Oryzias latipes: one gene and its partner. The protein of the gene in region 1 interacts with the protein of each later gene in a pairwise test. Links are inferred from orthologs where the notes say so. Each region holds a gene or a part of one and is shown in the gene's direction. Other genes may lie near its edges.

Region 1 (4,340 bases):
GGGGAGAGATCTGGACACTGGCTAGGCTACTGCAGGACCTTGAAATGCTTCTATCAAACCGATTCCTTCATTACCCGGGTAGTGTGTTTGGAGTTGTTGTCATTCTGAAAGATCCAGCCATGTCTTATCTTCAATGACCTTGCTGATGGAAAGTGGCTTTCCCTCAAAATCTGACCATACATGGTCCCATTCATTCTTTTCTTTACACTGATCAGTCGTCCTGGTCCCTTTGCTGAAAAACAACCCCAAAGCACCACCCCCATGCTTTAAAGTAGTTATGGTGTTCTTTAGATGCAACTCAGCATTCTTTCTCCTCCAAACTCGACAAATAGAGTTCTTACCAAAAGGTTTTTGGTAATTTTGGTTTAATTCTCCCAATCCTCTTCTGGATCATTCAAATGCTCTGTAGCCAACTTTAGACGGGCTGTACACATGTACTGGCTTTAGCAGGGGGACATGTCTGGTGCTGCAGGATTTGAGTCCCTGGCAGCGTAGTGTGTTGCTGATGGTAGCCTTTATTACTATGGTTCCAGCTCTCGGCAGGTCATTCACTAGGTCCCCCCATGTGGTTCTGGGATTTTTGCTCACTGTTCTTGTGATCATTTTGACCCCACAGGGTGAGATCTTGCGGAGAGCCGCAGATGAAGGGAGATTATCAGTGGTCTTGTATGTCTTCTATTTCCTAATAATTGCTCCCAGAGTTGATTTCTTCACACCAAGCTGCTTACCTATTGCAGATTCAGTCTTCCCAGCCTGGTGCAGGTCAACAATTTGGTTTCTGGTGTCTTTAGCTCTTTGGTCATAGTGGAGTTTGGAGTGTGACTGTTTGAGGCTGTGGACAGGTGTCTCTTACATAGATGACGAGTTTATACAGGTGTCATTAATACATGTAACGAGTGGAGGACAGAGGAGCCTCTCACAGAAGACTTTTAAAGGTCTGTAAGAGCCAGTAATCATGCTTGTTTGGGACCACATACTTATTTTCCACCATAATTTATAAATAAATTCTTTAAAAATCAGACAGTGTGATTTTCTTTTCATTTTTTCTCGTTTTTTTTCTCTAATAGGTAAGGTATACCTATAATTGAATATACAGGCCTCTCTCGTCTTTTTAAGTGGGAGAACTTGCACCATTGGTGGCTGACTAAATACTTTTTTGCCACACTGTCTATTTTTAATGAAAAACTTTGTATTACCATCTTTTAACTGCTCTGTTTCTGTAATCAGCAAGTAGATCTCATGACAGCGCTGATGGGACCTCCTTGGACAAGGAAGAACTCAGTCCAGGTGGTGAGGCTGATGTCCAATTCTTCTCCTCCTCATAGCTCTGTCTTGCCTGAGAAGGACCATATGTCTCTTCTCTCCAGAGTCTGTCAGAGCACTGCCAAACTGCTGGGACTGCTGTGCCACAAGGGGTTCTATTTCTAATGAGCCAGTGGCCACCTCTGCCACATTACTGTTCTAAATGTTAAAAAAAGGACATGTATGTCCAAAAAAAATGTTTTCATTAGAGAGATTGTAAAACCCAAAATGGCAAATGGTAGGTTCTGATCTTCTTATTCTATGGATTCTTAAATCAAATTGAAGCCCTTCAACCATTAAAAAGCTACTTCTCTGGAGAGTTTTGTGACAGAACTGTTGCTCATTTTCCTATTTCAATAACTTTAAATAGTATAAATACCTATTTACAATTATTTGGGCAGACAATACCTCAATAATCAATATAAGATAATTCTCTTTGATGCTGCAACTTTTTCTTCGCTTGCCTAATCTCTGTGACTTTATCTCCCACACTTTAGTCCCACATGACACATTCAATATATGTAGAGCAACTGTAGTAACTGTAATTCTTGCAGCATTAGAGCTCTACTTCTTTGGCTAATTTTAAAACAATCAACTTTTTTGCTGTTGCTGCCATGATATTGATCATGGATCATTTCATTTACAAAACACTTTTAAGTGATGAAAAAATACAGAATAAACAAGACAAAACCTAGAAAAGGCGGATTTTTTTTTTAATAGCAAGTTGCAAGGTTGGTGTATGGGTTGTGAGTTTGAGACTCCAGATTTAAACCATTGACAGGTGTGTACAGGTAATGGCTTAAATTGTATTTGTAAGCCTTTTCGTTTTCTTTGAATGGGTAATGAATAACATGAAAAACAACGGAAATGTTCACAGGATTAATAAAGGGACATATGCTCTGTAGGTTCTGGAGACCCTGAAAAAAAATATTATTACATTGTCAAAGACCTAAAGTCTTACTTTTATTTTATTTTATTTTATTTATTTTGTTTTTAATTATTTTTTTTATTTTATTTTGTCCTGTTTTAAACAAATGTATTTATAGTCTTCGTTTCAAATTGGACTTTTACTAAAATTTTGTTTTGCTGGGTTTCCTTTAACTGCAACAGGAACACGCGTCTTTTCAAAAGTTCCGTTGCCATGGAAACAACTGGACCAACCATGAACGACGTTACAAGGTGAGTCCACAACAGAAACCAATCAGCAGGCGTGTTCTTTGAGTGTCACTCTATTTCAAAAGGCTAGGCCAGCACTTTCCAACTGGCTGCTAACGTGAAACCGAGTAGGTGGAAATTGGAATTTTACGAAGATTTTTTTGCACACAGTAAGTTTGTGTAGACTTTAGTTTTATTGCTATTTTTTTTAATCTGCTGCTATAAAATAATGTACGTCCTCCGGTGCTGTGTGAATGTGTCCCACAGTTGTCGAATTAGCTTAACACAGTTGGGATGCTTTAGCGTTATGCCAGGGTTTGTTAGATCAATTATAAATCTTGACAATATTGAAAGGTCAACTGAGTTAAGTAAGCTGCAAAAATACTACCTTATTTGAATTTTATCGTAACAGACATAATAAAATTGTTTACTTTGATAAGCATGTAACTTTTCTCCAATTTTAATTTCGTGACGTTTATTATAGCCTCAGTCTGGATTATACGAATTGGCGCCGATCATGTTCGAAAACATCTTGTTTAACCTTAAGACTGACTCGAGCTATATTGAGCTAACCCTCTACACACGTAGTCACAGGACCCCAGTCAAGCAGATAGAAAGATACTCTGGTAATATGTGATGCCCACACAATGTGGACGCCATGTCTTAAGAGCTTAAGTTAAAATATCTTTATATGTATTTATGAAGTTAACATTGCTTATCACATCTCATCTATGGGAATCGGTGATTTTTATCTCGCTTTTTTCTGCTTTAATGAGAAGTTTCATTCTTTTCTTGTTATTCTCTGTTGCTTTTCTGCTGCCCAGATGTCTTCAGATGAAGAGGATCCAGCCAGTCCTGTTTTACCCAAAGACTCAGACCGGGGCAGCTCTGTGTCTTCTGAGCTTCAGGTGGCTAAAATGCATCATAAAATGACTCATTACAGTCCCACCATTGTTTAGTTAAGATCCCATTTGTTTGAATCTTTCCTAAACATGTATTATTGCACACTTACACAAGATTGCTTATTTTTGTGCCCAAAAAAAAGGGGCAAAAACAGTTGAACTCCCATGTTTGAGTTCAGACACATAGGCCACAGTTACATAAAGTCCTGCTACTAAGTTATACTAATGAGTACATGGGTTTTTGTTTGATAGAAGACTTATCATTTCTCTGATGCATTTGTTTGTCCTTTTTTGCAACTCCAAGTTGTTTATTTTTGTTTGTTTTACCTAAAAATCTATTTACTTATTTATTTAGTTTTACAGAGGATTCATTGGTGTAAGCTGAAGCAAAGAAACAAGTTGCCTTAATAAAGGTTTTTTTTAGGCCTGCACAATATACCGCAAATTTATCGTTATCGCAATAGCCAGCTCTGCAATATGCATATCGCGAAAGACGGTGAATATCGCAATAAATCGTAAACCCAAAATGTGTTAAAACAATCTTATGGCAGCTTGAAGCATTTAACCCATCAAATAAATCCCTTTATGTTTTGACCAATCAGATGGACGCCTACCCATTGTTTACCAATCAGATGGAGGCCTAATATGTTAGACGATTGTCACCGATGTCGATGAGGGTCATTTGGAGTATAATTTTTAAACTGTTGCAATGAAATGGGAATAATGTTTTTGGTTATTTTTCTATTTGTTTATAGACCGCAAATTATATTGTTATCACCATATTGATCACTTATATCGCATTTCGCAAGTTTTCCTCATATCGTGCAGCCTTAGTTTTTTTTATTAAGTGTTTTAGTTACAGGAGGAACTATTTACATATAAATATTCAGTCAGCAAATAATTACAACTTGCCCCTAAATAAGGCACTAGAATATTGAAATCAAAGGTTTTGCCTCCTAGTGTTTTTTTTGTCTTTTTTTT
Region 2 (4,461 bases), on another chromosome or scaffold:
CTAAATACCTGTGCCCCCCCCCCCCCATGAATTCTCAGACTGAGTTGGGGGTGGGGTGGGGGGTAAAAACAGGAGGGCTGGCTGGAAATCAAACACAGATCCTCCTTCAGCTGAACAGAAAGGAGAATGTTCTGCCTCCAGAATCCTCCTCCAGTCAATCATCGCAGTGAAACTTCAGAGGCTCCAGTAGGAAATTCATCAGGAGGAGTTTTTTTTATGCTGTTATTTTCATTCCGTCACAAACTACTGCCTGTTGTTGTTGTTACCACCTGTTTTTTTGTATTTTTTTCTGACTTAGACTCTGCTGAGCTTGAATCTCTCCTGAGGCGACATGGTTTTTCACTCAGGCGTTATCTAGGATGACACATGTGACACAGGAAACGCCCCGACGTGAGCCGAGACCGGGCGGCACCTTCATCCCGGAGCACCATGGGAAATCCCTGATAAAACTGAGACAAAGCCCAAATCAGGGGTGGGGGCACAAAGACCCTCGGGAAATGCTCCAAGCATTTCCAGAGGGTAGAAACCTCCGGCAGGATTCCAGAGAGAAGGACGACTGTTCAACAAGCCAGGACCATTATGGGTTACATGCCTTTAATGTTGACAGACAGACATCAGACATAACAGGACCGTTGACCAATGTTTATGAGGAAAACTTGTCATCAGTTCAGAGTAACAAGTTACAACAAATAAAGGGTGTGCTGAACTGTTGGAGGACAAAGTCTAATATTTAGGTGTTTTTAACATGTTCTTGATGATGGAGGACCATGTATGAAGAAAATTAAGCGCAAATTTTCATTTGTTGTGAATCAGGAGCAGACTAAAAAAATGCAGTTTAAAAAAGAAAAAAATGTGCTGGGCGGTGCCACAAGCTCCGTGCTGCGCTCCATTCCGATGCATTCACTGTCAGACAAATAGATCCATAAACATCTCTGTTTTCCTGGTCTGAGCTGGAGTCTGAACTGGACGAATGGACGGATCTGATGAGGCTGCCATTTTTGTTGCACCAGTAATGTTGGGGGGGTTGGGGGGGGGGCTGTTAGATAGCAGGAAAGAGTGTAAACAAAGGAATCATGGGAAATTAGACAGGCTTACTGTGTGCCAATGGCCACAACTCAGAGGAGAACCTCTGATGAACTCCTGTGGATCTGCAGAAACTGTCCTGTAAAACTGTCCACAGGAAGGGAAATAGATCAAAAGATGGCCGGAATGTGTCTTAAAGTTATCTGGATTATTCTTTTGTGAATCACAAACTGATTTTCTATTTAAAGTTTTTCTACATTTTATTTGACTTTGAAAAGGATTCCAGCGTCAGTATTAGCAGATGTAGCAATGACAGACGACAGCAGGGGGCGCTGGTGTCCCGCTTGGGTTCAGTTTGCTCCCGAAGAAAAAAAAACAGAGCGCCACTAAGCGAGCGCCTTGCTGTTGCCTAGAGACCACCGACCAATGAGGACCTCGGATCTGAGCGCGGACACGCGGGGTTTGTTTTTGCTCGTTGAGCGACAGTAGCCGTTCCTTGGAAGTGAAATCTTCGCGTTTGGATCTGCAATTCGATCGCAATGAGTCTGTCTCTGAGGTGAGGATCGCAGCTTTTACGGTGACGTCATTTCCGGTTCTCTCGCCTTGTTAGCCGACGTTAGCATGTCGCCCGTTTGCCTCAAACATTCAGAGCTTGTTGACCGGAGACTCGGTCAAAGGGCTGCGTCGGTCCAAACGGTCCAAATGTGTGTCTGTCAAAGGGTTCGGTTCGGTGGAGCTGTCTCTGAATCAATCTGAGCTTGGCTGAAGACGTTGCACCGAAATTCTGTGACCTCTCAGGTTCTGTCCTCGGTAGATAATATTTCACCTGATTTGGACTTTCCGGGACCAAAAGCTCGTTTCGGGGAATGAGTTCTTTTATTTTGAAATAACGTTTGTTTTTCCACCATATTTGGTCAAAGGTTCTCCAAATAAACCTGTTGTGACGTCAATGTGACAGAAAAATATCAGAAATAGGATTCTGTGGTTTGTGGTCAAATACTACGATAAGACTAAATGGGTCTGGGTTCTTATTGGCTCAAATCTGATCGGAGATCTCTGAGTTGGTTGAAGCAGGTTTCTCTCTCGGCTCAGAGTTTGCCGTCAGTCTTCTCCTGCCTTCATGTCTGTTCCTGACTGATGAAGATGTTCAAACTCTTGTTTTTTTGTCTTCGTCCATCCTTCACGGTTGAACGGCGAGGTTCAAGCTCTGGTTTGTGGTCACAGGGAGAATCTGTGACTCTGGTTTTGCTCCGCAGAACCGACCAGGCCGACAAAAACAAGCCTAATAAGAGGAGGGAGCTCACCGAGGAGCAGAAGCACGAGGTCAAGGAGGCCTTCGACCTGTTTGACACGGACAAGGACCGACAGATCGATTATCACGAGCTGAAGGTGAGCGGCGGCGGATCGGATGGAAACCGTGGAAACGAGACCAAAGGTGTCATCTGTCACGGTCCCACCAGGTGGCGATGCGCGCCCTGGGCTTTGAAGTGAAGAAGATGGACGTCCTGAAGATCCTGAAGGACTACGACAGAGACGGGAACAGGAAGATCACCTTTGAGGACTTCAGTGAAGTAGGTGAGTCACTGGCCTCCTCTTCCTCAGAGCCAGGCGACGAGGAGCCGCCCTGAAACGCGTCTGCCCGCAGTGACGGACCGCATCCTGGAGCGGGACCCGAAGGAGGAGGTCCTGAAGGCCTTCAAGCTGTTCGACGACGACGAGTCCGGGAGGATCAGCCTGAGGAACCTGAGGAGGGTCGCCCGAGAGCTCGGCGAGGACATCAACGACGAAGAGCTGCGCAGCATGATCGACGAGTTCGACACCGACAGAGACGGAGAGAGTAAGTCTGCATTCGCTCAGGTTAAAGCCACGCCCCCTTCACCGGATGACACGTGTTCTGTCGTTGCCGCGGAGATGAGGGTCAACAGCCTGTACTTATGTAGCTCTTATGCAGGTCTAACGCGTTTTAAGGTCACTCTGAAGGCGGCAGAGCTGCCATGACAACAGAGGGGCAAGGTGGGGGTTCAGTCTCTCGCTCAAGGTCACTTCAACGCATAAACCTGCGACCTCCTGATCGTAGGTGGACCGCTCTTCTCCCGGTGCGGCTCCTGCTTTAGAAATCCCATCGCTCTCTGACCTCCATGGCAGGAAGGTTCTGGCGTTCCCGCTCCGAGGTCGCCGGTGATTGGGCGGAGAGCGCGGCTCCTCCCCTCACGGTTTCCTCAGCTGACCTGTTCCAGAGTTTTAGCGACCCGAAGGCCCGTACACACCGGGACGAATATTCGCCAGGCGTTATTCGCCAGCGTTTTTCTCCACGTTTTTTGTGTTCACACCCAGGCGATTTTCGCTGACGATGAGCCGAGCGAACATGCAATTTCATTCCCTGACATTAGATGGCGCTTAATGTAAACAGAAATACTCCTGTACACAAGGTGGCGCTGCGCAACTTTACGCTTCTTAAAGTCGCTTTTCACTCAGAAGAAGAGAGCAAGTATTTACACGCTTGTCAGAATCAAACAAAGAAAACATTAATATTTCAAGCATCAGTAGCTCCAACTGGTGCTTGGTTCGGGGATATTTTAGAATGTCCGTCATTATTGCTTCGCGGCTGTGTAGACGCTACTTGGCGTCTATCTTCTTCGCTGGTATGTGTGCTCAGCAAGGCAGTTTTGTGTTTGAGCGCCCCCAAGTTGTGTTTTACTGTAACTTCAGAAGCTCCAGACACGTGAGCAAAAGCGCCATTCTCATTGGTCGAATAGATTTCGATGCGACGCGTCGAAAAAAAAAAAACGAACCCGAGGCGTTTTTTTTTTTTGACGCTTTAACGCATGGCGTTTTTTCGCGTCGGTGTGCACACTCTCGTTGGTGCCCTTTGTTTAGTCACGAGGCGTTTCGCCGACGAAATTCGTCCCGGTGTGAACAGGCCTTGAGAGTCTGAGCAGACCGGTGTTTCCTCAGTAAACCAGGAGGAGTTCCTCGCCATCATGACCGCAGACTCCTGAGGAGGAGCCCGGAACGCCTTCTGAGCTGGACCCAGACGTTTCTCCACAGAGCCAGTGGACGCCCCCTCAGAGCCCGTGAGTCTGAATCCCGCTGGACATGAGAAGACTTTCCAACAGTAAAAACTGGACTGACTTTCTGTAAAGATCAAGATTTAAGTCGATCTTGACTTTTGAACTGTTTGTGTGAGTGTTTTATTTATTTTTCATAAAATAAAGAGTGTTTTCCCCAACAAAGTTCTTCCTAATAGTTCAGAATTTCCGCCGCGGGTTCAGAACCCGACAAACCCTCAGTGTGGCTCCTCTGGAGCTCAGCCGCTCTGTGACGCTGCAGCTGTTTTACCCTCAGTGTCCACTAGATGGAGACATTTCAACAACAAACTGAACGTTAGCATGAGCAGAAAAGCAATCCTCGAGCCACTTCTCCACTCCCTCTCTTTGG

What was found.
Region 2: the proteins of poc5 (region 1) and cetn3 interact in binary tests that used the Homo sapiens proteins (3 or more experiments, as listed by UniProt). The link is inferred for Oryzias latipes from reciprocal best matches to the Homo sapiens genes POC5 and CETN3.

Annotation. Positions count from the first base shown.
Region 1 is NC_019867.2:14,007,057-14,011,396, reverse strand, and holds the start of poc5 (centrosomal protein POC5), read left to right. Parts: upstream 1-1,236; 5' UTR 1,237-1,239; coding exon 1,240-1,290; intron 1,291-2,412; coding exon 2,413-2,481; intron 2,482-2,508; exon of another isoform or gene 2,509-2,627; intron 2,628-3,281; coding exon 3,282-3,365; intron 3,366-4,340. UniProt on the Homo sapiens protein: Essential for the assembly of the distal half of centrioles, required for centriole elongation. Acts as a negative regulator of centriole elongation.
Region 2 is NC_019870.2:1,965,907-1,970,367, forward strand, and holds cetn3 (centrin-3), read left to right. Parts: upstream 1-1,413; 5' UTR 1,414-1,562; coding exon 1,563-1,579; intron 1,580-2,279; coding exon 2,280-2,412; intron 2,413-2,483; coding exon 2,484-2,598; intron 2,599-2,668; coding exon 2,669-2,860; intron 2,861-3,978; coding exon 3,979-4,022; 3' UTR 4,023-4,256; downstream 4,257-4,461. UniProt on the Homo sapiens protein: Plays a fundamental role in microtubule-organizing center structure and function. As a component of the TREX-2 complex, involved in the export of mRNAs to the cytoplasm through the nuclear pores.